2 linked regions of the Styela clava genome follow. The protein of the gene in region 2 binds, or shares a complex with, the protein of the main gene of each other region. Links are inferred from orthologs where the notes say so. Each region holds a gene or a part of one and is shown on either strand. Other genes may lie near its edges. The genes, in order: ral GTPase-activating protein subunit beta-like and ral GTPase-activating protein subunit alpha-1-like.

The links.
Region 1: ral GTPase-activating protein subunit alpha-1-like (region 2) and ral GTPase-activating protein subunit beta-like share a complex: the UniProt entries of both Homo sapiens proteins name them as parts of the heterodimeric RalGAP1 complex. The link is inferred for Styela clava from reciprocal best matches to the Homo sapiens genes RALGAPA1 and RALGAPB.

Annotation. Positions count from the first base shown.
Region 1 is NC_135262.1:3,152,678-3,169,855, forward strand, and holds the start of ral GTPase-activating protein subunit beta-like, read right to left. Parts: upstream 7,929-17,178; 5' UTR 7,843-7,928; coding exon 7,713-7,842; intron 6,609-7,712; coding exon 6,538-6,608; intron 5,930-6,537; coding exon 5,724-5,929; intron 5,339-5,723; exon of another isoform or gene 5,240-5,338; intron 3,569-5,239; coding exon 3,402-3,568; intron 1,898-3,401; coding exon 1,711-1,897; intron 786-1,710; coding exon 654-785; intron 1-653. Other genes in the region: B9 domain-containing protein 1-like, read right to left, coding at 13,360-13,482, 14,258-14,357, 14,947-15,106, 15,493-15,673, 16,511-16,579. UniProt on the Homo sapiens protein: Non-catalytic subunit of the heterodimeric RalGAP1 and RalGAP2 complexes which act as GTPase activators for the Ras-like small GTPases RALA and RALB.
Region 2 is NC_135253.1:4,748,554-4,765,004, forward strand, and holds the start of ral GTPase-activating protein subunit alpha-1-like, read right to left. Parts: upstream 11,472-16,451; 5' UTR 11,453-11,471; intron 10,138-11,452; 5' UTR 10,041-10,137; intron 9,405-10,040; 5' UTR 9,342-9,404; coding exon 9,224-9,341; intron 7,573-9,223; coding exon 7,456-7,572; intron 7,305-7,455; coding exon 7,255-7,304; intron 6,105-7,254; coding exon 6,047-6,104; intron 5,913-6,046; coding exon 5,869-5,912; intron 5,266-5,868; coding exon 5,079-5,265; intron 4,787-5,078; coding exon 4,671-4,786; intron 4,254-4,670; coding exon 4,112-4,253; intron 3,396-4,111; coding exon 3,212-3,395; intron 1,224-3,211; coding exon 1,140-1,223; intron 345-1,139; coding exon 227-344; intron 1-226. UniProt on the Homo sapiens protein: Catalytic subunit of the heterodimeric RalGAP1 complex which acts as a GTPase activator for the Ras-like small GTPases RALA and RALB.

The sequences.
Region 1 (17,178 bases), on a different chromosome or scaffold from region 2:
GAATCAGTATTCTGGTGGTATTTTTGAAAAGAATAGTGTTATTAATCATTAAGCCTACAAAACAATTAACTGATTAGCTATTTTCATACTTAATCTGGACTGGTGAATAGATGGAAGACTAAATTTTCCATGAAATGATTAAGCCATACACTCGTCCTTTTTGTGCCTTCTAGAAAAAATATGGGAAAAAAAATCCTTTTCTTTGTCACACCCTTCAATACAGGACTGACAAGACAGTAGAGAGACTTTTAGCCCTTAATACGTTTCGTCCTGCACACATTTTCGACCACAAGGCGTTTGATTTATGATCTTGTTTTACATTTCACATAAGAGTTGTTCATTAAAATTAATGATATATTGATACATGTAGGGCATTTACGCATAGTTAGGGTTGTACTGGAGCCGCAGGTTACCTGATATGTTGTCACTGTGTAGAATAAATCTACAAATAATTGTGTATTTGTAAATTATTAATTTTGTTGAATAACTCCCACGGCAACTCGAAGTCTAAGTCACAACTTAAACAAGCATTACGCAACCTAGTGATCAGAAAAGTCTGAAGAGTGAAATGTATGTAAACTGATCAAACATTCCCAGCGCTTCCAAACAACCAAGAAATTTGATGTTTTCCGTTATACAATAACAATACTTACTTAATCATATGCAGCATCCTGTACCAGGTCTGAGTCATAACCTCGTTTGATAAATCATTTGGAAGATATTTCAAGTCTTCATCCGGAATCTTCAGCTTCGGATAGGAAGGTCCGTGGGTGACTTCAACCACCCTAAAACAGAAAACATTCAAAATCAGAGAAAAGATTAAATCTCAGTAGATAAACTCAAATAAAGGGTTAGATTGGTATTGCAAAGTTCTGCTACGTATTTTTAACATACATGCTAATATAGCAAGTCCAATACTCTAACTGCTATACTACTGCGCCCACTCTTTCTAAACAAGTCTATTTTTCAGTGAAATACCAATACTGAAGTGGCAGCATAACCCATATGAGAAATTTCAACCAGATCGGCCCGGAACTTTAGAAGCTACGGCTAAACACACAGACAGACAACAAACAGACAGAATGAGAGTCACCTAGAGCTGGGATCCAATAACTTCGAATCTTAAATATACTTCATACCAGGTCTTCCCAAACTGGGAGTCACAACCCCACTGAGAGACACACAACGAATTTTAGGGGTTGCAAAAAGTACACCAATTTCACACAAAGTACCATATCTATTATACTTTTTTAGATGTTTTATTTGAACGAAATTATTAAAACTATTGCAAAACCTAAATCTCATGATTTGGAGAGAATACATCTAGGATTAGAAAAGTGGCTTGCTTGTAACACTATGCCGACAACAAGGGTCGCGGAAAATCTCAATGTATTGGAAGGTGTCCCAATCTTAAAAGCTTGGGAATTCTAATTTATACCAAGGAACACAAGAAGTCAGTGTATGTCAAATGGGTTTGAATGTGGAAATACAGGGAAGTCGCAGATAAAGAATGATTCCATTGGTTTATTTTGGTATTATATGATTTTCAGAAATTTGGGCCTTTCAGGTGATATTGTGAGTAATCAATAATATTTCATCGAAAGAAATTATTCTAAATAATTCATAAAATCGAATAAAGTTAATTTTAACTTAATTCAAATCTTTGTATCACGACCTTTAACCTCTGAAACAAAGATAACTAACACAAACCTTGCAGTTAATGCAGCGGTAATTTTACACCAATACTCCACGACAGGTGGATGATGCCTCCATCCAGCAAATAATAACCTAGCAGTCTTCCATAGTGGAGGGGAAGGGAATGACCTGGCACAAGATAGAAGCCACACTTGCATAAATGTTTGCATTAGAAGTTCACAAAGCTGTTCAGCTAGCCCATCTGTAGGAAAAAAATATATAATTTTTTGAAAGGCATTAGAGGATTGCTGGACTCCTCGCCGTCGTTGGGTGGTTCACGTAACCGCTGGTCGGTTACGGCTTCCTCCACCACCAAGTCCATGCTTCTGAAAACAAACAATATAACTAATCCCATACCCGACTTGGAATGGTAACCGGACGAGAGGCCGTGGTTCGCCATATGGATAAGCCGTCTTATCGGCTTTCCTCTCCCCCGGGATAAATATGTAAATCCTATCCTATCAATGCTGAGACAGAGGCGTAGCAGGGAATTTTCAAAAGTCCAAAATTTTTAATTGCCAACTTGGACCGTAACAGCTAGTGTGTCCGGTCAGAAAACATGATTTTTGAGTCTAGAAAACGTTTCAAGCTATGAAAAATTGCTATGTTTGATACAGAAAAATATGGGGTCCGAACTCAAAATGCTCCCCCTGGCTACGCTACTGCGCAATTTAAGTTTTATATCTTTCATTTAGAACAAGGATTTGTACAAGCGACCATCCCTACTTAATGGTAATTCACCACCACTACTCATGGTCATTGTGCCTACATGTTAACTAAACCTAATCCTAAGAAGCAAGAGAAAGCAGATAGGTGTCGCTGCCTGAAGACCTCTTGAGGTCCCTCGCGACTCCTGTCACACAATTTAAGTTAGTTTCTACTTGTATTTGTAATATTTTTTCATATATCGTACCATGTTTAAATTGTGTTGACGAATAAATGATGATTGATTGATTGATACAAAATCAGTGAAGCGTGAAATAACAATAATAAAATGAAGTGAACTGGCAGTGCTGCCAGCAATTAACAAAACAAAATAATACAATAGCAACAGATGTTTTAACGCTGAGGCAGGGGCGTAGCCAGGGAAAGGGGGGACTGAAATTTTTAATTTTTAACAGCTAGTGTGTCTGGCCAAAACACGTGGGTTTCCAAATCCAGAAACGTTTGACCCCCAAAACCTCACCCTCTGGATCACTACTTCCTTTTGGAAGAAATGAATTCTATACTGGTTCGGCACTCAATATGTTACTTTCTGGGCGAGGCATTCAGTGTGTAGTTTGAACTGAGGATCTTAATAATCCGCAATGCCAACATAGTTAGGTACCATGCCTTAAGTACCAGACTAGGGTTTCTAGAACTGTACCGTTGAGGGGCCCGAAACAGTTCTCTGAGGACAACAAGTAGTAGCTTTCTTTCAATACCATTCGAGGTGACTACATTAATTCAAGGTAAATCAACGGGGATTTGTTTAATAATTTTGACTGAATTGCATGTATTTCTACTTCCCATTTGTTGAGTTTTTTTACGACTGAAGATGATTCATAAAATAACCAATGGGAATACTGCAATCCTCAGCAGGCGCAAGCTGATACAAAATCAGTGAAGCGTGAAACGATAACAATAAAATAAACAGGCAGTGTTGCCAAAAATTAACAAAACAAAATAATACAATATCAATATTACTATTGCCCTACTAAACTTACTTGGTTGTGAAGGGGCAGCAAGAAGTTTGTCACAAACATTCAACATGAACATCAAAATTGTCTCCCAGGTCTCTCTGTCTAATAACATAGAATTCTGAACAACGTTTTGAATCGTTCGAAGCACATTCTGACATAAACTAACTTGGGTTGACACAGCTCCGTCGGTTCTGAAAAATAATATGGATATTTGATGAATATATATATACCGTATTCATTTTGGGAGAGAGAAAGCCTATAATCTTCATAATCATAATATTATTATGGCGAAAAACGACCTCTAGCCTATATTGGCTGTATATATCAGGTTTAGATAGAAACCGGTTTCAGATGCATGAGCTTTATCGAATGACATTTTTACGCACATCTTTCACTCAAAATAAGGCGCTGCTGTAGGCGCTGTGCTACTTTGTTCTGGATGAGTCATTTAAAAAATGACTCAGCTCTTACTCTGGTTGGACAGAGATTTTCCTCTTGGAAAAAAATTTGATTCTAATTTTAAAAACAAAATTTCATTAACAAAGCCTTGACGAATGAATGAAAGCCGTCAGTCGTTTTGGACATTCCCAATTTACATCTGGTGTTGGGGTGCTCCCGAAGTATGCGAACCAAGATGGCGGACATCGGAACGTAACATGGATAACAGGTTAGGGTTAGGCGATAATTTTTTTCCAATTTTCCTTATTTTAGTACTATTATCAGTTCGAGGACTAGCCAAGAGCCTCCCGTAGTATTTATACCTAAAATCATGGCCTAACCCTAACCTGGTACACATATTGCATTCCGATGTCCGCCATCTTGGTTCGCATACTTCGGGAGCCCCGGTGTTGGTTTGTTTGCTCCACCAAGTAATAATCTATGATTTGATCAACTAGACCAGTGGTTCCCTAAGTTGATTGACTGGAAGCCAAAATTAGAAGCGGAAGGATATTCACGGGCCAATACTATTATTAATTAAGATATTGGTATAATTGTAATGAATATACCCAGGCTTGAACTGTTATAACAATGTAACAATTGGCAGTATCTGAAACGCAAAGAGAAAAAATCACAAAGTGTTAAAACTATTTCCCTCAAGTTCGGCAGGCAGGCCATATTAAATCGTTACACGATATGAGAACCACTGAGCTAGTCCGAGACAGCTCAATGAATAAAAAGCTAGACAACAGATCTAAAACATCTATTAGTTCCAAAGAAAAGCCTTTTTTTTTCACCACGGCAAGAATTTAGCAAAACGATTCATCTACTCCATGTCAAATAAATGAATAATTCATCACAATTCCTAGATCAATAATATTACCAGTACAAACACACAAATGAGATATGAAGTAATTGCTGATTCAATTTATTATTCAATAACTAAGCATACAATATGGTTCCACTTCCATGTAATTCTTTCTACAATGCATATCTTTATTATCGTAAGCAATGGCCAAAATCTTATTTGCAACTTTGAATTATTTAAAAAAAAATCTAAAATTACATTTTCGGATATAGTTAATTGAGTACTTTCAAATTTCGTTCAATTGTTCAACAAAAACATAGAAGATAATGTGTAGCCTATTTAGCGCACTAACGCTTAGCACAATGTGCCTCCCCCAACTCATATAAATCCTATACTAAGTAATATGATACAAATTCTGATAATAGTACTTTAAATAAGTTCAATATTGTTTATAGCCGTTCTAAACTAAATTTGAGTTGAACTTATTGATATTAAACAATTTAGTGGCACACATAGTGCCATGGGAAAGAAAAAATCTCGATTTCAATTTTAACCACAAATGGTAGCATAACTCAAATGAGTGTCTATATATGCAAGTCAAGCATAGGTGGATATTGTGTATTTGAAAAGGAGAGCAGGTTAGCACTCCCCTTGATAAGGACGGAATTCACATATACGGGTGAGGCACTGCCGAAAGGCATCCACCCATGTTTGCAAAATATAAAACAGGATTAGGGATGTGTCATCAAACCAGAATAGAAAACTACGGGCTGTTTGTTGACAAAATTAAAATTGTTCATTTTTTCATACTATGTTTTCATCATTGTATTCCTAGAATAATTAAAACAGCATTAGAAATTCACAATATATATATTTCTTTCAAATCTCCTAGGCTCGGTGCATCGTACCAAGCGTTAGCACTACATCCGACTTCGCACCCCTGATCACTCTGCATGGGTTCGCAGGTTTAAATCCTGTGGAAGAGGATTGCTGGACTATCACCACCACCGCAGGGTGGTTGATTCACGTTGCCATGATTAAATTGCCAAATTGGCTTTTCTTTCTCCTGGGATAAATATATAAAATATAAATCCTCTTACCTTGGAATAAACAGATTCTGCAAATGGTAAATCATCTGCCGAACATATGATAATGGATTTTTCAAAATTGGTTCAGGAACAGTGGCTTTCGGAACTGTAAGCACAGTTAACCAATCAAGATACACGTTCACACTTTCTCTCAGAGTGTCAAGTTCCATCAAAGTGAGACTCAAACCGAAGCACACAACTTCCATCGTCCATTTAACCTGAAGAAACAAAGTTAGAAGTTTAATATTGGTTTGTTTTCATATGCTTTTTGCTTCGAGCAAGGCAAGCAACTAGTATGGTTTGGGGCTGTATTTTTCCCTTCATTTCACGCAGTAGTTCCTAAAGCTGCTTGACCGTGGGCGAATAATAAAAGCCGAAGGATATTCGCGAAGGAGAAAGAATAGTGCCCGCATGGGGCTGATACCGACATCAGTACATATAATTAAGATACTGGTATAATTGAATAGTTACGAGATCGAAAAAAGGTAAAAGCATTTAACACTTTATAAAGCGTTAAACCATTTTACTTGATTAAGTTCGGCGGGCCAAATTAAATCTAAGACCAGCGGGCCAAAGATTGGAAAACACTGCTATACTGGCTCTACTATTCAATTTCTGATCTATTTCGTTTGATTCTGTTTATCTTAAGTAAGGTTACCGGTACCTTACGTTCGAGCTCATTTTAACATGTAAAAACTATTATAACACAACTGAATGCACAGTCTATAATGGACATTTCACACAATATATAAGAACCATCTTTGCTGCCCCATTGACAATATATCACTCAGAATAGTGCTATAGTGATAATACCAACATTACATACCTCAGAATCTTGCCTGAACCTGGGTATATTCCCAATATCAGGAGTTCGACTTCCATTGCTAGAACCTCCACCTGTTGCAATAAACAAAAACATAAAAATTTAACTCAATACAGTGAAGCATTCAAGTAAGGTTAGATCTATATATTCATTACTAGATGAGCCAACCGAGCATATCGAAAGGGTTGGCAGTATGCCTCATCATTACTACTCCACAATCATGAGCTAACTACCGTAACACCATAGGATTTACATATTTATCCCGGTGGAGGGGAAAGCCGATAAGACGGCTTATCCATATGGCAAACCACGGCCTCTCGTCCGGTTACCATTCTAAGTCGGGTATGGGATAAGTTATATTGTTTGTTTTCGGAAGCATGGACTTGGTGGTGGAGGAAGCCGTAACCGACCAGCGGTTACATGAACCACCCAACGATGGCGAGGAGTCCAGCAATCCTCTCGCACATAACCATCCCTGCATGGGATTCGAACCTGCGAACCCACGCAAAGTAATTAGAGGTGCGGTGGCGAGCGTATTCCTAACTCTTAGCCCGTTGAGCCACACCGCTGCGCTGTACACAACATGTGTTGTTAAATAGATGAGAGGCTATGGTTCGCCTGTCAACTATTCTCCCCCGGGACAAATATGGAAGTATTACAGTACAGCACACTATCCAAATTTCAAGAATTTCCCTCCATTTGGCTCAATAAAACAAACACTCTATGTGTCTCACAAACGAGGGGCGTCTGGGACCATGTCAGATGCTTCATATCGTGCCATGCTTGTCTCAATAAAAATCTAAATGAATCGTGGGCCGTCACATGACCAAAATTGCCGTTTTTTGCTAAAAACTCTCGAATGCTACGGTAAAATTTTTTTTCCCCTACGGTAAATCGGATTATTTTTTCCCAAGGAATTCAATGATGACGTTATTAAAGTGTGCTTTTTTGTAGTATTTCGCGCAACTTCATTATACTGTATTATTACCGATATTGAGGGACAACAATGTCCAGATGTCTCCCAAAGAAGGGGTGTCTGATCATCTGTAAAATGGGTTTCTCTGAAACGGGACAATGTCACCCGATTTGTATAGTGTGCCGTACAGTATTAACATATCCTAAGAAATACCATGCTTGAATTAATTAAACATGACAACAATCAGAAATACAACACTTACCACCTAACAAACTGGTTACAACAGACTTTGCTACATCTCTTCCAACACTCGGCAAATAATGATGAAGCACACTGGTACATTTTTCAAGATCTTGGACTTCAGTTTTAACCGACGTCCACTCCGAATACATTTTATAATAATAAGGTATATCCACTTGATGTCACCATAGAGTATATAATTATTTTATGTTCTAATTATACATTATCTCAATGATCTTCTAAATTGAAAATATTAGCAGCGGATGAAATCATAGGCGCACAAAGTATTCAAGAATTCAGTTTAAAACAGTGCGGATATTACTCAATTACATTGAATTAAGACAGTGGTTTCCAAAGTTGATTGACCGTGGGCCCAAATTAGAACTGAAAAAATATTCCCGAGATAGGAGAGGGTAACGCCCGCAAGGTTTGAATTGTTCAGATATACAGTGATTGAGCCCATGAACTACAGTGATAATCGCTGTATATTACAGGGTGAAAAGAGAATCCAAAATTTTTCCCAAGAATCCCAAGAAAAAGAGAATCCAAAATTTTTTGAAGTATTTCTACAAAAACGAAGAAAATTTACTCAAGACTTGATCTACTGTTCATTTATTATTGTGCCCCAAAGTTTAAGTACCATAATCTAGGTCGCTTTGCACAAAAGTTATCATATATCCTCACATATAAGCCGAATCCAAAATTCAAACCAAGGGTTGATCGGCTTATACGCGCACAACTCTGAGTGCATTGAACGTTCAATTATACGTGCATAACTCTGATCACACTCAAACAGAATGACATGTTGCTAACTTAATTCCACCAGCTACAACTCGAACTATACAAGTTCTTACGATGAGAGCATACGATTTGTAGTGTCGGCTTATATGTGGATTTTTACAAAATTCACCGTTTTAGGGTCGTTTTTTGGGAGTCGGCCTATATGTGAGGATATACAGTATTTTTTCTTAAGAATATTGTTATATATGACCTGGGTGCTCTTTATATTGAAAATTGGATTTGGAAGGATATTTTGTTCATGAAACAACTTACTTTGGAATATGAAACACAATTTTAAACATATTCAGTGGTTATGCACATCAATTTTTTTAAGTACTATTCATTTATCACTCGAACAACTGTTTGTGTACGATTGTACTCAAAAGTTACAGTAATCTTTGGACGCTTTGCAGAAAAGTTATGTTTTCTATAAAATACTTTACAAATGGAATTTGTATTGGATTTGAGAAGATAATTGGATCACAAAAAGTAAACATCTTACTACTTTAGAATATGAAACACAATTTAGAAACATATGCAGTGGTTATGTTAAAAATTACTAAAAAAATTTTTGGTAAAATAGTTGATATACTTTCATACTAATAATCTATTACAATGAATCAATAATATGAAGATTTGATAAAACAAATGGTCACTCAAAAATGTTAGCTACCGTCACAAAAATGCATATATAATACAAAATCATAGATTACACTTGATAAGCTTTCAAATCAAGCAATATAACATAGTATGCTGTCTGGGTTTGATTATAAAAATAAAATTGTATATCGTAAATGAATATCAATAACATTACAATAATCAGCACAAACAATACAGTCTGAGTATACAAACATTGAAAGAAGCTGCCTCAAAATTGCAAAGATAAGATAAGAGCAAATCTGTTTGCACAATTACGAAAGGTAAATCACTCTTAAACTGCTTATTATGTTTATGTTTGATACAAGTATAACAGACTCACCGGGTCATTTACATATATCAATTCTCTACCTAGACAGTAGATTAGAAATGTATTACGTCAATCAATTGCATTATTATTCCAAGTGGCACATCTCCATAGATTTCTGCCACAATACGGAAGAGATTTTTTCATCAGTAGCTACAGGATATAATTTTCGCTGCCTCATTTCGGTAAAGTAGTTTCCCGAAGACTCCTCGAGTCCATCCTCTAAGCAGCAATAAAGCGGGGTCTGGCATCCGTAGAAAGAAGAACGGCAGAAAAGCACGAAAAACATTTTTCTAAATAACCAACTAAAGAATCTTCCTTTATTAACTTGATCAGCTCCAATGTGGGTTTGAATAGCTCCTGGGTGGACTGCGTATACAGTAATATTATTGCAAGTGCCACCTTCTTGACGTAATCTTTTGTCCAGTTCTTTTGTGAAATACACATTCATCAATTTTGTGTTAGCATATTGCTTAAAGATTTGAAGCCCAGTTGAGTTCCGATTGATATCTGGATTCAGGTTGTCAAAATTTATCTTCCCAAATTTGTACCCTTCTGATGCTACATTCACGATCCTAATAGGAGATTTTTTAGCAGTTTTCCGCAAAATAGGCATCAATAATTGAGTCAACAGAAACGGTCCTAAATAATTTGTACCAAACATCAAATCAAGCCCATCTTTAGTTTTTCCTTCTAGAATAATTCCTGCATTATTCACCAAAATATGCAAATTACTTTCAGATTTCAAAAACTCCTCAGCAAACTCTCTGATACTTTCAAAATCTGCCAAATCAAGTTTCATAGAATGCACTTGATCATTTCCAGTTTTTTGCCGTATTTCTTTCACTGCTTCACAACCTCTGTCATTATTTCGGCAACAAATAATAACTCTTGCGTTACATTTCGCAAGGCCGATAGCGATGCCTTTTCCGATCCCACGGTTACCACCGGTCACAAGCACTGTTTTTCCCGTTAGGTCTTTCTTGCTATTGCACACGGGCCCGCGTTTAAAAAATCGCACCCATACAATAATAGTCAGAATAACTCCACCGCCTATGATATTTGGCAGTGTTAATAATTCTCTTTCGCCTGACGGAAACCAGGAATCCCCATTAAAAAACATAACGCCTTTCTATCAGTGTAGAGTCAACCCTCGCGCAGTCGACATTAGTCACTGCCAAATACCACTAACATCGATAAAATTGTGTAAATAAAAGGCTGGATGGTCACATTCGTCATGGTGCGTCTGTGGGCGAAACGGTGCCGCATTCCGACTTCCAAATCCAAACCGAGTTACACAGAAAATTTTTGGGCGTCCATGAGCGTTTTTGGGCATAAAAGGACTTCAAAATAGCAGAATGAAACTATTCGCCGTTATGGTCAGTATACTCAAGCAATTTATGCTTATTTATCATTATGCTTTGAATTTTGTTATATAAATTAGGTAATCACTGACCTTTGTATGATAAAGAAATGATTATAATTTTTATTTATTTATTTGTTAACTACTAGAATGTAATTTATCATGTTCTTCTTACTTTATACCTTCTGTATGGTTGTGTGTGAGCGTGTGTGAAATATTTCAATTTTTTTTGGTGAGTGAACACGTACCACTTCTTCTTGGCAAAACCTTCTATCATACATTCTGTACGTTTTAAACTAAGTAAGGTTTTGTTTGCTCTCCTGATTTCATAATCAGTTTTTATTTTTACCAATCATTTTATTGCCTTACCATTTTTTAGGCTTTCGCCCTGAACATGACCCTGGAAATGCAGGTACTGATGCAAGGAGCTACTGTTTTTGGAACGACCAAATCCTTTTGTCTCGGTCATGCGTCTGGGTAAGACGGTGAACCTGTTTGAACCCCAGTAATCTACCCTGTGGCGCCAACTTAATTGGCGATCTCACCGTCTCTTTTTAGCTACCACATTTACTTAACGATATCGAACAAACCAACCGTAAGACGAAGCGGACCTCCTGAAGTATGCGCACCAAGATAGCGCACAACCTGAACTCAGGTTGTGTACCAGTTTAGGGTTCTGGTTATGCGACATCTTGGTGCGCATACCTCAAGACCAACGACGAAGCAGAGTATGTACAGGCCAAATAACATGTTACCTATTCTCAAAGTTAATCACTCAACAGTTGTTTCGCATGCAGTTGGTGGCATCATTCAACACAGGTTAAACCTAATTTTAGGTTGTTTATTTCCAGATTATTCGCTTTTCCACACTTTGCTATTAGGGTAGGATTCAAATAGTTATCCCGGAAGAGATGAAAGTAGACAACACGGCTTAATCATAGGGCGAATCATGGCCTTTCGTCCAGTTTTCAGTCCATGTCCGGTATGGGATTAGTTATTTGTTTTCAGATGCATGGATGGAGTATATGTAGGCTTACCATACATCCCGCTTTAGGCGGGACAGTCCCGATTTTAGCGTCTTGTCCCGTCGTCCCGACAAGTCAGCCAAAAGTCCCGCTTTGGCGTTCAGCTATCCAGTATGATACACGAACATGTTCTCGTTACTGTTGTTTCTGTGTAGGGCAGCGCTAGCCTACTTACTGAAGGTGAAAATGTGAAGTTACAAAATCACAGCTACGGGGGTCGTTGTCTCTGGGGGCTTCCCGCTTTGAAGTCACAAAAATATGGTAACCCTAGATTTTTTAGCCAATAATCAACTGCTCATTTCTGCACGTAGCAGATTTCAGAATCAAGAAAACACAAAATGCATACAAGAATAATATATCTATTAGGTATATAAATAGTAAAAAATCATCTACATTATATGAAAAGGTTGAAACAATAAAAGTACCACCAAAGTGCCAGGAAACCAAATAACACTAAAAGAAAATCACCAAAGCTTAGTGAAGTCATCAATTGAGAAGCAAGTATTTATTTAATAATAAGGTAGATGGCACCACTTTTGACGTGGGAAGTGTGCAGAGATCTAGTTAACGAAACCTGAAATAATCCATTCTTTGCCTGAAATATTCAAGGTAAATAGCACCATATTTTTCTTTTTTCAATTCAAGAGCCTTGATGCCAACTATCACAAATGTATTTCTGTAACAATCCGTCTAACCTTGTTACGAAAATCTTGAATTGAATAGAATTGTCATTTGCATACGGAACCACCTGCCCAAAGGCATAGAGTGAGAAAACGTAGTTACCGTAGTTTCACGTAACCCTAATTGTTAGATACTTTTGCTCGTTGAAAATGCACCATGAACCACGCGGGGAAAAAGAGTCATTTTGTAACCTAAACTCTTCTGAAATTTGAGTTAGAATGACTTTAAATTTATGAGTTCTTAGTTCGAAATAGATTCTGCACACCAAACAATTTATTAGAAATAGAGTCCGAAAAGTACTCTCAAATTAAAAAAAAATGATTTAAATTTGGCTGCACTGAACATAGTGCCTGTGCAACAATGCAAACCATTGGATATTTGTATATGGTTTTCTACAATAATATCCTGATATTAATTATTAGATATTAAATTATTTTTCAAATAAAGTATATAAAGAGTTTATAAAATACAGGGTGTTCATAAAGTCCCTTTACAATTTCAATTTTGTTTAAGTCAGTTCTCAATATATCTTAACCAGATTTGTCGTTTTTTAAACAGTAATGTTTAGGTATTTTTACTTCATTTAACACATCTGTGAAGGCAAAAACAATCCATATCCATATGGTATGGATAAATTCCCTTTGCATTTTCAAATATTTTCTAGACTTTATGGCACCCTATATTATTCAGCAAAGTTTCATTTGAAGATTTGAGTATGTGAAGATTTATTTATGAAACAATGTTCAAAAAATTTCCACTAGACATAATTATATTTAATTCTGTCAAATATAAAACATTCCTGAACTAGCAGCCACAGTGGTTATAAGCAGCAATCAAAGTATCTTATTTTGGAATGTCACGATAGCATTGTGGCAACAGCACCAGGCTGAGATTGCGTGGCATCGAATCCGAGTGGTTCACCAGGCGTGACATCATAACCCATCTTTTTCATATCTCTTGTTACAACATTAAAAGTAACCTGAAAAATTTGAAAACTATGAAGTGGGTACTCCCGTAGTGTTTGTAGCAGGTTAGGGTTGGGCCATAACTTCATTCAGATTTTGGTACACACACTTCTGGAGAGCCATAAACATGTGAAACGCTATAAAGTGTGTTACAGATAGCCAAATTTCTTAAAGTAAATTTCTATGTGCTGAAAAGGACACAGGAGTGAAGAAAGACAATATGGCGGCTCAATCATATGGCAAACCACGGCCTGAGTCCATCCGGTTATCAGTCCAAGTTGGGTATGGAATTAGTCAGCCAGTTACTCATTTTCATGTGCATGGACTTGACGATGCTTTCATGAATGCATCAGGATTATTAACAAGAATAGCATAATCTCTTTCTCAGATAGCAAGTATATTTTTTTTTTTTGACATCATATAGGACAGCAATCCTCACATACATGGACACAAGGCCGCACATTGGTACGGGTATGGTAATCCTGAGGCTGAGAGTATCAGAGGACAAGCTATGCAGAGACAGTCGAGTGATACGAAATAAATAGTGTACCCGTCAAATTAAAATAACACGGCAAACATTTTGGGTAACATATAGCATGCTTTATGACACATAAATTTGACGAAAAATACAGGCAATAGCTTCCTAAAGACTCTCTCATCTTTGAGCACTGAAAATTTGAAATTGGTTGGCCCATTGGTTGTGAAGAATTGAGCTTTTTCTCCAACAACAACCTCCGCAGTGTGTAAAATAACAACTTTATACATGTGCAACAACTATAGTTGACTGACCTTTATATGACCTTGTGTTCGAACTCTTGTGACATCACGACCTTCACCTTGCGCTACGACCTTGGGATCTACGAATTCAGGACGTCGGCCAAGGAACCAACTGATGGAAGAAAAGGCATGATTTAAAAACAAGATAACAATTCAAAACAAAATTTCTCGTTGAAGAATAGGAATTCGTTAACTCTTCTGTCTCGCACAAAGTATAATTTATGATATAAAAAGCAAACTGTAGAAATATACTGTAAATAAAACCAAAAGGTTTCGTGTTTTTACTAGTGCAGAATTAAATTAATATTTGAAACTGTGGCCCTTTTTAATCAATACCAGCCAAATAAATAAAATATTAGTCCTGAGATATTATGTTTTGCAGCATTGATTCAAAAGCGTAATATTAACGTAAGGCAATCAGTAAATCAAGAGTCCGGCAGCGCCCAACAGAAATGTATTCCTGTAGGGCTGTAAACTGCTAATATGAAAAAGGGAAATACATTTGAGACTTGAGTATGCAGCAGGACTCTTAAATTACATAGTAAGGTCATTTTTATTACTGCTACAGCATCCTTGCATCATACGATACAAATCCACAAATGACAGGGAGTCTTGTTTAACCCCGACTCATAATCGCAACAGAGTGAAGTCAGAAATCTGACGAATGTTGGTCACATTTGTGTCATAAGATGAAAACAAACCTTGTAAATTTTTGTAACTTTGATGACGATTCGGGCACGAACATCGGTATAATCCTTGAGTGTTTTCCAGGTGCTATGGGCACATGTGTGGCTCCATATCCTCTGACGACATCCTGACCAAATGCATCTGGACCATAACAGCTAACGACTAATTGAGGCCCTGTTAGATGATAGAATGAAGAAGATGGAATTCATGTGATTGCCTAGCTGTTGGTGTGTTAAACTGCATTGAAATCGCAGATTACATGTTAAGACTTCAAATCTCATTCCCATCCTTGGGTAGGTAATGTTGAATCGTAACTAATCCTTATAATAGTAGCTCCCGCATATTCTAAGACAGAGGCGTAGCAAGGGGGAAGGGTCTGAGGGTGGGACTGTTTAGAGCGCAGGGCATGAATAAACATTGTACGCATTACAAAACTAGATTCTCCAGGTTATGCTTACATTATGGTCTGTGGTACATCGGCAAAAATATTTAATTCAAACTTTATTGATTCTAACAGGTCAACTTAACATGCAATAAAATTGATTTACATGCAAACTTACATCCAAACGGATTTGTACTTTTATATGTGATATCCAGAGGGAAATTCCACACAAATAGTTGTCTCTCGTCTCGACTTTTTCTTGTGATTTGTGAGATGCCTTCTTCTAATCCAGCAGTCACTGCCCAGTCTTGACCATGAATGAATGAAAACTTGCAATATAACTCTTCAAAATCTGGAAACTGATAAAACACAGGAGTGATTGCGATTATTCAAAAGCAGGGGGTACACAAAACAGTGAGGCGCATGCTGACATGGGCAAATCCGGCCCCGCCTGATTCTGCAACAGACAAACTAAAACCAAATTTAGATGTTTAAGCTAAAAAAACTAACTCAAGGAATTCTTGAGATTGCGATGCCGATGAATTCAGTTTTGAAATAATTCTGTAAATATTGTTCGTAAACTGGGCCGCCGGCCGGCAGTCTAGGTGGGCAAATATTTTGACCACTTGTTCAAAAACCTTGCCCCATGTGCTATGGGTTTCGCAACCCTTCTCTATAGCATATAATATACACAAAAATCTTGTCACATTTTGACAGTAGAATTTCAACACAATAGTCATAAAACCTTCAGTTTGTGAGATAATATGTTTGGCAGTGTAGGAACTGTGCCCCATCTTTGTTTTAATTGCGAATCTGAAGTATAATAAACTGTGTATGTTGGGCTAAATCAGAAATTTTCGATTATTCAAAAATTATTGAAGTGACAGCAGGACATCTGAGGCATTTGGAGAACTGGTTACCTTAATACCGAATGAAAAATGAATATTCAAAAACTGCCTAATTTAAAAAAAAAAATTATTTAGTCTCGAAAGATTTTTTTTGTTTAAGCAAAAATTTTTTTGAATCTAATATCACAAAAAATTTGGCATTAATCATAACTTGATGTACTGAATTATTAATGTATGAATTCCAAAATAGATACTTATTGTTAGTTTATTTAAAAGTTTCAATCCATGAACGAGCATAAAAAGAAACGATAAAAGAATGATATAAATAAAAAAGTGAATGCAACTTACAACAGCACTTTCAATTTGTCCTGTTGACATCAACATAAAGACAGCTGGGTTTGGATTCAATCCGGCCATTTCACCAACGATATATTTCTAATTATTAATAATATCTAAATATTTTTGAAACAAGTAAACACATTCAGAATAAACAGAAAATGTCATTTAGAATGATAAGTGTTTAATAACAGTATCATATTCAAAATAAACAAAATTTGAGAGCAAACTTTGGATTGGTGAATCATATAAAGCATAATATAACTTTAATAACATCACTAACAAATCTACTCTCTTTCCATAATAGCTAGAGCCATAGACTTTAGCCATAATAGCTCTAGGATTTATAAAAGGGTTTATCAAGCTGTAGTAACGATCTCATGGTAATGTGAAACATATAATTATTCGATCTGGTGAGTTTTAGAATCGGGACATTTTTGCCAGTTCCTGAATCAATGATTGGAACAATGTATTCAACAGGAAGGTAGTATCAATTCAGCTATTTTACAATTTAACAATTATTGGGTTTAATTGCTAAACTTGACGAGGTACATGATAAAGTATTACACACTTATATGTTCATTGCTATATATTTTATAAATTACTATTTCAAAATGAGCTGCTGAAAAACTAATTTATTTGTTAGGAATCCAATTTAGAACAACTAGACTAATGATAAA
Region 2 (16,451 bases):
ATATACCGGTATATAATATACAATGATATATTTCAGTTACAATGGGGAAAGTAACAAATCATATTCAGAAATCACATAGAAAAACTAGTTAAATAGTTGCTAATTTGTTAGCCAGTACATGTCACCTACAATAAATTCAGATGGTAAAATAATTACTAAATCAGGCATAAGTGTATTAGTTAGATTTGAATAAATTTTAATCAATAACTTATAGTGTCCTTGCTACCTTTTCAGTCAAAGTACTTGTGTTAGAATGAGATGCTTCTTGCTCATGGCTACCACCAGATGAATTCCCTCCTGCCATTTTTGAATCTGCTTCACCAATGGCTTGTCTGTCTGGAAGTCTGTGTTTGTTAGGTTAGACAGTAAGTGAAATTGAATTGATGAAAAGTGGCTTAATAAATTTTTAATACGAGATATACATTGAAACTAGAAAGTGACCACTAATGGAAGAAAATAATGAAAATTGTGATGGTTGAAGTGTTAATTATGTTTGTACAATTATGATGTTGTATGAGGTTATGTGTTATGTTTTGTTGTGACTCAATTATTATGCCCGATTTTTAAATTTCTTCTGTAATTTCATTGATTTTGTAATATATCCAAGTATTATTTCATAAAAATTTCCACAAATAATGAAAATTGACCAAATATCATTAATTATCATTCAAATATAAATTTTAATAGGACTTTTTCCAGATAAATTATATTTCAAATTTAGTCTTAGAACAATTTTCGGACATTCACAATTATTTATGATAGTGATTTATGTAAAATGCCTCCATGATAAAGTGCCTAAATTATGACATAAGATTAATTATTTAATCACTACTTTTTAAATAACTACTGTAACTAATTAACACACAATCATGCATATCACAAACAAAATTCAATAAACTAATACAATAAATATCTGTCAATATTAAAATAATTCGCAAGTTCAACCATTGCACACTGAAGACCAAATTAGTTGAATAAATGAGAAAAAAAAAATGTTCAAAGTTGATATTTTTGAAATTCAAATTCATCTTTGCCTGTCGTCTCAATATTTGAGTATAAAAAGGATTATTGCAAAATTTCAAAATTTAAATTTGCATTTTAAAGCTGCAAAAAAAAAAATCAAAAGCAATGATAATCACCCAATTACAGAACCGACTATAAGCCGTTGTTGCATCATATGTGATTTCAGCAGTCTGGACAGGCCGTCCAATACGACATCCGACCTGCGTTTTGCAATTAAACAAGAACACAAAAGCAGAAAGCAAAAGATTAAAAACATTACATGCAATATAAAATTATCAAACAAACAATATTTACATGACAGTGTTTTTCGGAGCATAATGTGCACTTTTATAACCTTCAGAATGCATGCAAATATGCTACACTACAAATACTACAATTTGAAAAATGCTTTTCAAATTTGGAACTCAGCGTTCTATTACATGCTACAAAAAAATTGAATTTGGTATTGTTAAAAAAATGAGGAATCACTTTCGCAAATTTTTCAAGTCACCTGTCTGGCATTGTACTGATTATCCGAAACGAATAACAGCAACAAGCTAAGGCCAGTACACGATGTATGCTCCGAAAAACAGGAAGAAAATTGCTGAAGACAAAAATTGTACCCATTAACAATGACTGTTATTTTCCTATGATACTTTTGAATAGCAATGATTCATATTATCATTAACTGTTTACCCCATCAGCGAAAAGTAGCATATTTTTTCAACGAAGCCATTCAAAAACGTCGAATATTGAATGTTTTCGGAATTTAATCATGTTTAACATAAAAGTCGGTGTAAATTCAATGAGTTTGAATTTGGGAAATATAAGATATAAGAAAGATAAGAAGATAAACAATATTTGATTGGGGTTTGTATTTTATACAGTCTTCGGGATTCAATTGTAAGTATTTTCGATTATACTGCTGGTCCTCAATTGATCTAAATATGAATTTTTCAAGTCAAACTCGAATTGTTTCGCAATATAATGCTCAATTATTGTTTTGAAGCCTTACATTTTTCTTGATTTCTATGTGATTCAGGTCACATAGAATTTATGATACAGAAACAGAATGATACACATTTCTTCAAAAAAGACAACTTTTGGTTAGTGACCAGCTTTACCACCAATGTCCAAAAGTCGTAATAATCAAAAAATGTGAAGATTCGCTGAACATATATTCCAACTTTAATGATGTTTCACATTTAATACTAGTTACGTATTCACTCAATCATGCATTGACAGAATAATTAAGAAATACTACCAAGCCATAACTGAATTTAAATAATTGGAAAACCATTTAAAATGACACCGATGTCTACCCGAAATTAATTTAAATATCATCTACGACCAGGAGCACTGAGAATGTCATTGGATTAAATTTGAAATTCTAGAATACGGTAATCTAGATAAAAAATTTATTGAGAAATTATGGACAACCATGTTTTTTAGTAAGAAATAGTGTGCTGCATAATACGGAATTCGTGATTTGAGCCAGGTTTTCCAAGATAAGATTTAAAATTACCAGTTACAATATGTTCCTAGATTAATTAGGAATACTCTTACTCGAATGAAAATTTCTGTACCATTACATGTTCCTTGGAACAACACTAACAAACTATTATAAACCAGAACTTGAAAAGCACTCAAAGCCTCAAACACATAGTATTGCCTTCTATAGTAGAACATGCATCACAGAAGACTTGCAGGCTGTCCAAAGACCAGTTAGTTTTGTTAATTAATCAATATGATCGTATGAAATATGATTCAGTATTACTATAATATGATATTATATTATTTGTAAATTTAGAAATGAATTAGGAATTACAATCAACAGAGTGCAAAAAACACAAATCATTTGAATTTGATAAATTTGGCTTGCAAACAAATTATAGTTAGTGATAAAATTATCTCCCTCTAGTAACTAAAGAATAAGTAATTCTACGGATTCCATTCCACTCAAAATTAGTCATATTCATATCGAAGATATTTGAGTTGAATTTATACCTTTGGTGTTTGTGTGTTATCGGTATCCATTTGTTCCCATAATATTTTATATTCGAAATTCAACAAATTTTTGGTTTCAACTTTTAGGTTAGTTTATAGGAAAAATCCTAGGTTATACAAGGTGAGTACTGTAAATTGTCCAAATGAGAGTAGATATTACAATTGCACCTAAGTATTACTTAACTCAATGTCCATTACATACCTTGCACCCCTGTTCTTATTTTCATTGTGCAGGGCATCACTTGTGAACGCTATCACCCATTTAATTGTGGAAACGCGAGCAGGCAGCATGGGACAACCAGGACCAACTTCAATACACGGATCAATTGAGCCAGTGTCTGTTACATTTAAAATGTAGTTCACAGGTCCTCTCGGCTCAGGCAATGCTGTAAAAAAAACAGGTAAAATTAGTAATATGTGATAAAATGCCTTGTATAATCAGTATAATCAATATAATTGAAATTTTGTGATTGGATGACATTTAGATGCTTTATTCTGTATTCATAGTCATATTCAATTTTTTTTTTAATTGCATTTCAGGTAGAACATTTACATTTATGTAAACTGGATTAGACAATTTGACTGAGGAAAAAGTTTGAATTCATTTATCGTTTAATAACTCTGTGATAAATTCTTGAATTGTAATTGTAAGGAGACTTATGAACAGTCTGTATATCAAAACAAATAAAGTTTTTAAAATAAGAAGAACTGATACACAAGCTCATAAAACGCAGCATTTATAATATTTATACCAAAAGACAGAAAAAGTCGATAAAAGATCTAAAAAATAAAGGCAAATACAACATGTATCCCATCATCGGTTTAGGCCAGGCAGGGAAATGGCTAACTAGTAAATCAATCATTCCAGGTGCTTCGGCTTGGGCTTCAAACATACGAACCCACACAAAAGGGATCGGTTGTGCAAAGGCAGAAGAATTATTTACAATGAACAGCGCTTGTAAAATACTGTTTCCTGATAATGATCTGCAAAGAAGTATCTCAGAAATGATAAATAAGAAATCTAATGAAAAATAAATTATTATTTTTCACCACTTACAGTAGTAAGAAGAAGGCATTCTATCTAAGATTCCTTAAAACTTACATAAATTAGGCTGATAAACAGAAGTGTCGAAATGAAAATCATCAAAAATATGAGGAAGATAGTATTTCTTGAACATATTCCAGAGAAAAGAAAAACAGACTGTTTCCATTTTTGGTCGATCTTTCCATTGTAACTTACAAGCCTGAAAAAATAAAATTGTTTATACAACAGGATGAGGAAATTTAGGTATTAATCATATACCTTCACACTAACTCTCTGAGGCTTTAAACGAGAAGTATCTAATCAGAATATATGATTACTATGCAATACAAGTTGAAAACTATTAAATTCAAAAAATACAGAAATGATCATTTTACTATCAAAATTAATTTTACGTCCAATTTTTTACTTCCATATCTGGATTAGCAGACACTGATAGGCTGTAGTGACTATATTTTTTACAATACCCAGAATCTTTATGGTTCAGCCCCTATTTGATACATTCTGGGTTAGGGTGATAGACTTGGGTAAGAGGTCTCCAACCCAAGAAGCCAACATTGGCAGCATACTAATCTTCCACACAAGTAATATTGACTTTATTGTAAAATATTCATCTTACCTCTACAACCATATATTCCAACATTATATCCAAGAAGAACTTCGTCAGGTCATGAGGATTCTTTTCGCCAGCAGGAGGAGGAAGCAAGCAAGTAATTTCTGCAGGACATACGCCAGCTTGGAAAAAATGAATGTATCAAATTTTCAAGAAATAAAAAACCAAGAATTTACTATATCGAATATAACCATTTTCAAATACATTTGAATATTTGATTCATTTTTTCTCAGACATCTCAGAAGTATCCATGGATATGCGTCAATTTATGTATGTTGTTTGATGAATCCTTATTGAATGATATATTCAGTATCCCAAAATAAAAAATATTGTTTTTGGAGAAGTTATTTTTTGACCATGTTCGTCTACTGCAAATCTAAAGTAAATTAGATTCTAGTTCATTAAAAAACTTACTTTGACTGTTGTCAGGAACAGGATTTATTAGTGATTCAATGTAACATCCACTGTATAGTTCATTTTTTGCTGGTGGGGAGGGAAATCCCGGTACAATAGATGCATACAATAATATTGTTGATTCTTTAGCATTCACATTCAAAGCACGAAACCACAATAAGAAGAATTTCACTCCATCTCGTCGCATCTAAAAATATATTAAATATTAATGATGGTGTGAATTCGCTGTAGCGTGTAATCTTGCTCAGCGAAGAGTTTCCTCATACTGAGTGAGTAAACGCGACCTTGCATTGAGTTAATTCTCTTCAAAAAATAAACAAACTAATGAATAGAAATGAATAATAATAACTAAAAAAACAAGGTTAGACTCCCGGCGACGCAGCTACTTGTGTTTATAGTGTTGGCATCACAATGGGGGTTAAGCAGAAGTAAATGAGACGACACATAGCAGAAAACCGCCGGACCAGTTACCAGAATCTTGGACCAAATGATCGAACATTCCCTAACAGTTAAACATCTCCCACAAGATTTGCGGAGTCATGCAAATTGTTGGAGATTTCAATATTCAATTATCTAGTCTACGGTAATTATTTCTCAAGATGAACTCATTGTAATACGAAACTAATTGCAAATAGCCATATCAAATGTTAATAGACAAAAGAATTCTATAAAGGAATTTTAAACTATTTGTATTTGAAAAGCGTGGGAGCAACAGCATTGCTATAGCATCACGGTAGTATTGCCTGCTTTCTTAGAGCTTAGGTAAGAAAAAAATTCACATCAAACAAACCTTGAGTGAATTTCCTGGATGTAGGAGCGTCTTGATAATTCGATCTAAAAATAAAAATAATAAAAGAGGTGCTAAGTTGTGTTACAAGATAGCTGTTACTGATATGCAATGATGTCGGATTTTACAATTTGGCTTGAAATCTTGCACTATTAATATTATGAATAATAAATCATCTTACCAATACTGTTATATTGCCATCTTTCATGGAGCATCTCAGGTAAACGTACAAGAATAGTCTAAAAAATATGGTTTTTCAGCAAGATCAAAAAATATATAAACTAAAATAAGTGTAAACTTTATGAATTATGAAGCCTCAATCTCTTTTATGGACTAATTAAAATTCAGACTATTTAGATAGTTTTGTTTTAAATTAAAATGCAGCAGTTCAATCATATTTGTAGAATTGGAATATGCAGAATTCAAGCCAAGCAGAAAAAATCGTTTAATGGGTTTGAAAACAAAGGGCAAATGTTGAAATTTAAAAAAACATTTAAGGCGTATATCAAATCATAGATTGGAGCAATATTACCAAGTATTTATTAAAAAGTTATAGCAGTTCAAATATTGAAAATATACAAATTTCAGCATTTTAGCAAAGCCCTTAATATGATTTATCAAAAAATTCAATCCCCTTTGAGTCAGCGAAAAGTTAAAAGTTAAAAAGAATTGTGGTGGACAACCCAAAAAAAGATATTTGTTAATTTCAACACTAATATAAACAGAGTCACACATATCTTCATGTTCATGGGCATTACACTAAATATATCTGAACAATGTTTATTCAAAACGCATAATGTTCCCTGATGCATTTATTAATATAGCCTATAGAAAAAAAATTCCACGAATTGAAACTCATCTGTTCTATCAGCAGATGGATACGCTGTATAGTATGCAATTCAAACATGTAGCCATTAAACCAATTCAATAAACAACAGGAATACATAAAACTCGACAGGAAAAGATCTTAGTCATACATTCACATGCTTCAATCTTTGCCTATTCATTTATTAACCTGTATATTTATTAACCTACTTTGAAAAGATGTACTATGGTTGGCCATAAGCAGAAACCAAAATAGAAAAAGTCCCAAAGCATATAAAAGATATAATCACTATAATTTCCCCCAACTAAAAGTAGATCTCAATTTTAGTAAAATGTATCCTAAATATGTACTTATTGTCAAAGGGCTGCATTGATTTTTTTAACTGACTATAAGTTTGAGTAATAAAACAATTGTGGACATGCAAAAAAATAAACACAATTGGTGATTAAATATAATAAACAAAGTCACCGCATGTCATATAAAAATATTATTACAGTGATGACAATAACCGGTGGTTTTCATGTTTCAACAATGGATATAATATGAGTAAAAAAAACTCAAACCTCAAAAATTTGCAGCATGCCATCGAGCTCTTCTCTTTGTGCTCTGTGAGCTGTAGAGACAAAATTTTGAATAAAAATTTATTACTGTGATTATTATATTTATGCCGCTAAAATGTTTAGGATTAGAGATAACTGAGAAAAATTTAAGCAAAATGCTTCGAATATTAAAATGTTTATTTTTATCTATCAACTATCCCCTACCTCCTTTCTGTCGCACATTTGCCTCAGCCAGAAGAAAGTTTTCATAGAAAACATAATAAATATGAGAATAGTATTGTTCAAAAATTGCTTGTTCTTCTGCTGGATCAGTGACATTATCTGTTAAGAATATAAAGGTACACTTAGTTGCAAGAATGATAGTTGAATATTTTCATTACAATTCAATGTTTGATACTGATTTTAAGCCTTGATGGTAGAAAGTGGACAAGATATCTATCTTTCCTTTCTAATTTTAAAGCATAAAGAAAACCAAAAGTCAGATAAAAATTATATGCTTATGTATGCATTTTATAAATGACCACATATAAAATTTTTTGTCCAAACCTTACTATCTTGGAACAGTCGAATTTTTTGAATATTTAAAAAAAAAATTATTGCAAATGATAATAGACAAGGAACGATAGTAGAACATTTTCTAAATACAGCAATATTTATTAAGTGAGAAAATATGAAGGCTATAGTAATAACCAGGACTTCCAATGAATGTTTTCCAAAGTATCATCTGTTATGTTATGTTGAAATATCAATTAAAATATACCCAGTTGCTACACTTTTTAACACACACACACATACATTTTAAGCATAGTTGCACTTGAAAACATTGACTAGTTGTCTTAGTTTTGGTCATCATTTGGTAGTTTATAAATCTATTTATGTATCTAAAATGTATGTATGAATCAGCAGTCATTTTATTTTCGAATGATCACAATTTTAGTAATTGCAAACAGCTTTAAGAAAGTTAAAGCACGAGGCTAAAATTACCGTAACTGTCAGACTTTTTAACAGCAGCAGCTTGCATGCAACAATATGGTGATTTTATAAATGTGAATCAACTCGCACAGGAAAACCCGCAAATCCACTTAAAATGAACATCAAAAATACGAAATGGTAGAGCATAGAAAGAATTTTTCTGTGGAGGGAAAACATCCATCAGGTCATAAAAATAATGAACTTAACATCCTACATCCTAAAAATCTCACAAAGATAATTATCCACTTTCCTATCTCCACGCATGAATCAAATAAATTAGGCACAATGTTTTATAACAGCAGGCATAATATCGATGTATTTATGGCATTCATTGGATAAGGGCGAGTCTTTTCAAACATAAAAGGTGGGTAAACAAACAATGTTACAAAGCAATAAATGTACGTCTAGAATTAAAAAGAATCATTCAACACTCAAATCTCCTAAATAGAAAAAAAAAAATCAGACATTTCTCATTACACAAATGTACTTTCAGTTTCAGCCAACGGGTAGAAATAGTCATTTTCTATATTTCGAATATACCGGTAATATATGGAATTTGAGATTAATCCATACACGAAAAAAGGGATTAGGTAGATTATCTTTTTCAAGTACTTTATATATTCTCCAGTAATTAAGTGATTTGCCTAAAATACCCAGTGTTCAGCGTGAATTGGAAATAAATGAGAAAAGAATCATGGCAATGTTACAATTTTCTGAAAGAGTGATTTTTGAGGGAAAAACGGATTCAAATTTCAAATATTTGTTTAAAGTTTCAGTATACAATAACTATGCAATGTTCGTGAAGTAGTGTTTTCTAACTTGGTTCTTCGAAATTACTGTCAAATTTGACATTATTGCCTCAAAACTATCATTTTTTTCAAATTTATAAGCGTATCACATGAAAACATATGGAAAATGAAAATAATTTAGCTTTCCATGTTGAAATTTCATATTTTTATCAGCACTTTGGAAAAAAATATATAATAAGCAGATATTTTACCTAGAACAAGCCTCAAATGCTTCAATCTCGTGACAATATCTTTTTTCGGATCCAATATTTTTTGAACAGATTTCTTTACTGCTGCATCACCCTGAGGTTTCTTATGAATCTGAAACATCTTGTGTTTTAACCGAGCAGCCTGCTCGGCCTTTGACGGTGGCTTATCCAGTTTGCAGGCTGTCTAAATTTATGTATTGCATATAATACAAAAAAGCTGAACCATGACAACAGTATCAGAATAAGGAAAGATAAAATGACTCATAACAGGATGAAACCGGCTGCTCTGAGGCATTTTGGATTTACCCTCATCTTTCGATATTATTATTTTATTGCATCAAAACTGGCTTTTTTGTCTAAATTATGAGCGTATCACATTATTACATATAAAAAGAATTTAGGGTAATTTTGTGACTTCTCTATAAAAAAACACAGATTCAATAAAAACTTTGTGTAATAAAATTGAGTGTATATATTGATTTCATACTAAATTAGGTTTGCTAATCCAAAAATTAATCTTCAATTACTTTGCAATCCTAAAAAAAAAGATTATCTGGCACCAAAATAATAGATTTTACTACGTAATAATATTTAATTTCACAATAAAAAAGAAAAAATTAAAAAAAAAAAATTGAATTATATAAAGAGAAACTGTTTGGCATTCCTAAAGGTAATGTGGCATACTTTGAATTCATGAACACTTGCAAGAAAGAAAATTGATACATAAAATATCATGAAAATATAATAAAATCAAGGTGAAAAAACACATGTAAATTTGCCTACTATAAATAACAAGAAAAGTATTTTGAATTTACTTCACCTTTGGATGCAGATGTAGAAGTTCAGTTGAGTAAAATCTCTTTACATTTTGCACAAACCATGCACATACATTAGTTGTGTTCTACATTAAAATCATTCTGTAAATATGACCAATAAAATGTAACCAACAACAAATTCCTTGAAAAAGCAGTTCGAAAAGTTGAAAATGAAAACAAAACTGGTTGTACCAAGTTTCTGAATATTAAAATTCAGCATCTAATCCTAATATTGTCATTCGAATATGCAACAACAATGGTGAGATTTTTTCATTATTCTCTATAATTTTAATATCACATCTTCAAAATTGATAATTGTTGAATTGTTCTACCAAATTCGTCTAGCTAATGAAATTTTCCCATCATAACTTATGCATCACAATGCATAGCAAATATTTCAGTTATAGAAAATCTTTCAATTTAAAATCAAATCAATATTTTTCTGAAATAATATTGTTATTAGTTCGTAAACTTCAAATTTTCAATTCCCAAATGAACAGGTACTTCTGTAATTTATGAAAAAAACTATAAACCAATAATCATGTTCCTTATGATACGAACAAGGACTTGGAAACCATGAAACTGGAGTCAAGCATTCCATAATACTGTAACAGATACAGCGGGAGCAAACAGTAATATTAGTGGCCCCACTGCCCCAGCTCTTAACCATTTATGCCTACGCGACGCGGCCTACGGTGACGGTGCTTCGAGTTTTTTATATTTGTAGTCTATGTATTCAGTTTTTTTTTGTTCTGCTGTAAACTTTTTTTCATGATATAATGTTTAACCCTTTTCTTTTTTTTATATTAATTACTGTTAGACTGTATCATGGGTGTCGCTGCTCATTAACCAGTTTTGATTTCTCGCGCCACCTTCAGACCTTTCAACCCGAAATGCCATATTCAAATCTCTTCTTTCTACAGTTCTCTTGTTCACATAATGTGTATTTTCTTTATGGTGATAAAATAAGTACGGATTACTGGATTACCGTAATTATTTTTCACATCTATCATTTTTTAATATTCCATACAAATACTAAAATCTATTCCTATTCATCTTTTACAGTTTCAATTTTTTCAATACTGCAATACCATATTTCTAATAACAGAATAATAATTAAATTCTAATTCAGTAATTCGAATTCGTAAAATTAAAAGCCTTAGCCATTCTGACTTAAAACCATCTCCCTATTTATTTACTGATCTAGGGAACACGCAACTGTGAGTCGATTTTGATTGCATAGCATAGAAATTCTATGACATTCTATTAGAATGTCATAAAAATAAGTTACCCGGGCAGTGCAGGAATGGTGATGGCGGTGCAAGGGAAAATACAATTATATGAATAACTGCAATATTGCATTTTTAGATTTTCTGTGTAACGACAGAACAATGAAATTGATTCACAAAGAACTCACTTTTGTCCGAGGCGTTGCAGGCGAATTTTTATTATATGCTAGACTGCGGTTCCCGAATCCCGACTGCCCGCGAGGGCCGCGATGTCTTGATTGAGAATTGGCCAAAACAATGGAAAATGATAGTAATGCACGGCGTCAAAAGTAGCTTATAAGGGGATAATCCGGTACGAAAATATCGGCTCATTGCAGTAAACGTGGTCACGAAATGAATATATCGCTAAATAAACATATTCTGCTAATAGCAACTATATTTCATTCATATATATTTGGGACGCGATGGACTATGGTGCTTATTTTGCCCATCTCCCAACTGACACTATTTTCATGGGTTTGTGCACCGACTTCTGACTTTATATCCATAGCACGTATTTCAATCGACAGTCGACACAGTAACTAATTTTAAGTTAAACTTGCAACTTGCGCCTTTCAACCTAAAATGTTTCAAAACGTTTTTAAGTATCAATTCAATCTGATGCGTTGGGTAACGCTAAACACTAGACTAGGCTCTCATTCTTATTGCTGCATGAAATGCTCTACGCGAACATTAAAGATTCTTTACGTATTTTAAAATAACTTGGGATATTTTGATTTAACGTGTTTTATAAATTTTGTGGTTAACCGACTTGAGTCATTGTTCCCACATCAACAACTGCTAAGTCACTTTGTTTATCAGCTCGCTTCGGGGAGCAAACAGGTTTATAAGTTAATATATCGCCTTACATAGCGAAATAGATAGAAGTTCATAGTTTTAGCAGGAGGAAATGGGCGACAAGAGTATAAGACAACGCAATGAGAATATATACGTAGTCATACAGCAAACCATTGCCTCTTGCGTCCTGCCCGTTACCCCTCAATGTCCATATAGGAATAGTCAGAGAATTATTCCACAAAACAACAATTAAAACACAATATTAAATACAAAAATAAATTAAGTTCGGGTGATACTTTTGGGTGGGTGAGTCTCCGATGAGGGTCATCTGGGCTCACGACCGGTTGAGCCTCATTGTTGTTGTTTTTTTCACTGTTTTAATAACGACACTAAACCAAGAGCAGCAGAAAATTTGCTCAACTAACAACAGGGTCCAACGTAGACGTAGTCATGGGTCTTGCGGGGACAAACTCTTACGCTTTTTTCTACAGTATTTTGCTCTATTCTGTTTATTCCTGAGCGATTCGCCGATAACCCGACGTTTTTTGGCATGCTATCAATCCTCTTTCCAAACGAATCAATCGAGAATGTGAAATTGTGCGCTTGTAGAGCTTGGATAACTTCGGCAGTGAAGTAAATCTGTGGAGAGCTTTCTTAGCCTCAAAAAATGACTACGAATGTTTGCAGGATTAGCCGAGTGTGCGAGACGTTGCCGGGAAACAACCGTGTTAGCTGAGCCATCTTCTTCATACCGTGTTGAGATATAGTTGAACTCGGCGATGACATCGTATCGCTTTTCAGATTTGTGCGTTGTTCATCTTGAAAGGAAGGATCAAGGACAATCGTACAGTTAATATTTATTAGCTCAGATGGCCAAAAGCGACGAGTGAAATTCTATGGGTAGATTGATGTTATAAATCGTCACGCTAATAACCGAATTGCGTAAGTCATTTTTGAGTTTTTCATAAAATAGGTATTTATGTAATGCTGCGCACCTGTCTGTTAACTCAGATTTTATTTTAGGAATTCCGAAACCCATAAAAATAGAGATTTTGTATGATATGCAAATTTGTTCAATTGTTTCGTCATAATGAATTATCATTGTTAGCGCCGGACTATTGTGACGTCACAAAGGCAATATAACCTCGCCGAAGGATTTTCGAGTTTTTGCATCTCAGACTCTAGTTTAGCGCTTATAAATTTCAATTTATACTACAGTATAGGAAGGCGTGCACTTGTGATATTCACTGTCCGAGTCCAATTCACCTTGGTTGGCTTTCATATAAGGGTACATTGCTGTTTTATTGTTTATATTTAACTTTAGTCTTATTTCGGTGGATGTGCAGAGCATGTTGTATTGATGAAATATATATTTTTAAACATAAAAAATAATTTAATTGAAACAGATTAACTATTTTGGGAATTAGACTTCGTATATACTAAGAAATACATTCGTTTTTGGATTGTTTGGTTTTCAGGACTGGTACATATAGTCAAGTTGCAAAATTGCGGATGTCCCCTAGTCATAGACACATTTCTGCCACAGTGCCATTATGACGTCACATGATTGCGTCATACAAATTAACTCCGGCTACGATCAAAAAATTGAACCATGGCAAATTATTGACTCTCAATGGCATAGCAATATCATTAGGAAGTTTTTTACGTTTTTCTCAAAACTGCTAAAAATGACTTACGTCTTACGCAATTCGGTTATTAGCGTGACGAAATTTTCCTTTGAATGTTTTGAATAAAATTTTCAAGCGGTTTTAAATTAATGATCAGTGAAGGTTTAAAGTTGTTGAATTAGCTTAACTACTAAACTATTTGTCGGAAAGTAATGTTGCAGACCATATATATATATATCTGCTAGTTTCAATTCGAGATTTAGCGGTATCACTTTTGTCGCCGATACTGACGAAAAAACGCCGATACCCATATGCATAATATGTAATTATCATCTTGAGTGTGAGGGACGAACGGGATAAAATAGTTGTCTGCGAATTATATTTGCATTAGCTCGAAGAACAGATACTCCAGAACATAGAAATTGATATCTGTGATTCAGATGCAAAAATTGCGTATCAATTGACTCAATCATTACTAACGGTTTATTTAAATACTTGAATTATTTGCATCATAAATTGCTTTAAAACTTTGTCGTGAATTATGGTAGTGTCTGCCGACGTTTCGTTGTGCATAGGCGTTTTCGAATCGCGATGTTCGATAAGATAAGCGTGTTGTTTACCTGGCGAAATACGAAAATGGTTACTTATCCTATTACCAATACATAGAGTTACGTGCAAAGGATTATGTGACACCATGATCTCATATTTCGGATTTCGCAAATCGGGGAAATTCACCGTGATATTTTTCTTCGTAACTACCATGTATTGTTCAAAATAAATGTAGTTGCAATAAACAATCAGGATAAATTTTGCGTAAACTATAAAATTGTAGTGACAAATAATTACGGTATATTCGAAAATGACTTGAATTTAAAAACATTAGGAAGTTCAAAACCGTTAAAAACGTGACGTTACCTTAAAACGTGACTTTATAATTTACCTTCCCACTTGCAAGGGTGAGCATGGCTCAGAGTTAACGAAGCAGTAGATGTCGCAAACATGATATCTTCATGCAAAAATAATTGAACATTACTAACTTACTTATGAAATTATTAACTTACATTTTAAAACGTGCTAAGGCAGATCAAAGCGCTGAATAAAATGCCGATAAAAATCCCGAGATCGGAAAAATTGCCGATACCGATCGCTGGTACAAACCTTAACTGTGTTGGCATCGCAGATTAGACATCTTGGATTAAAATTTCATGCCCCCACCAACCCAGTGTAATAAATTGGGGCAGCAATGCCGGAGTGGAAAGTCCGGTCCTTCAAAATAATATAATAAAAGATCTTTACATATCATTAGATGTCAATGGCTGCTTGTACAGACCTTGTTCGGAGCGAAAGGCGCGAGCAAGCATCGCGTTATAAAAAAAATTTGGCCTTGCTTACAATAGTATTTTTCGCGCGTTTCTTGATACAAATTCGTCAATGATTTCATTTTCCTTTTTCGTCCCTTTTTATACTTAATGATGTTACATCGTTTCCTGATTCAATAAGTATCGAAGATACGAAGGAATAAGTTTACTGTACAATCGCTATGGATACTGCCACTGTCGACAAAATCTGTAAAACCATCCAGAGAAATTTTCAGGCTGCGAAAACTGTTCATCGTACGGTCATTTTTTGAATAAAAAAGGCACATGGCTGTTATGGTATTATTTTAAAACAAGCTTGGTATATTCCGCCTTCATCCTATTCGATAAAATAAGTTGCTTTCTAGCATTTTTAGTCCAACATCGCGCTTTGAAATAAAGTCCGTTACATCAGATTCAGGTCATCGTTCACTTTCAAAACGTTTTTCAGATTGGCCAATTTCCTTACTTTCTCGCTTGGCCAACATCTTCAGGTCGTTGGCAGACAATTTTTAACGACTGTTGTTGAAATGAGATACTAATATATACGTTATCAATAATTTTCAGTTGAAATTGTATTATTGAAACATTCTACGGTTAAAACTTTTCGCCCTTTTCCCTCCCTATTCCAATGGCGCCCATGACACGAGCCTTGTCTGTCATTCCCCAAATACGTCACTGTTTATGGAGGTCTTTTAAACGCGCGAATTAATTTTTAAGTGGTGGAACAAGGTTATTTTGATGCATGAACTCACCAATTTATCCAGATCTGAAAACTGTATAATTACTTGCCGATGTAAGTTCCATCATGGAACAAACAATTGAAAGTTTTTCACATAACTTGAAATGCACCTTACAACTTTGCTTCGTAAAACCTGTATGTACGATAAGAAAGACTCGGAACCCCAACTAAAAATGTAATCTTGCGAACAAGGACTGTAACTTGAGCGTTTTGTGTCTATAAAACTCATCGACATTTTGAGACAACATTGTAGACGATGGATCAATAGGAAATTCCCAACTAAAATATCAATGGTAACACTAATTATTCAATGCTTTTCGTTCCTTCAATTGTTGGAAGATGCCGCAACTAACTAGCTGTTATACGAACCACCCCACGACCGCGAGGAGTCCAGTGATCCTTTTGCATACAGTCATCCAACACAGGATTCGAATCTGCGTCATTCAGTGGCGATAATCATCCCCGAAATGACCATCAAACCTGGCCTCATAATTCATCCAATGCCACTTTTGTTACACATTAAATTTAATGTGGTTAGCACCATATGTGGTATAATTATAAAATGAGCAATGTCTACGTGGAACACCGCAATATGCATTTAATATGGAATAAATAACTTGCACTG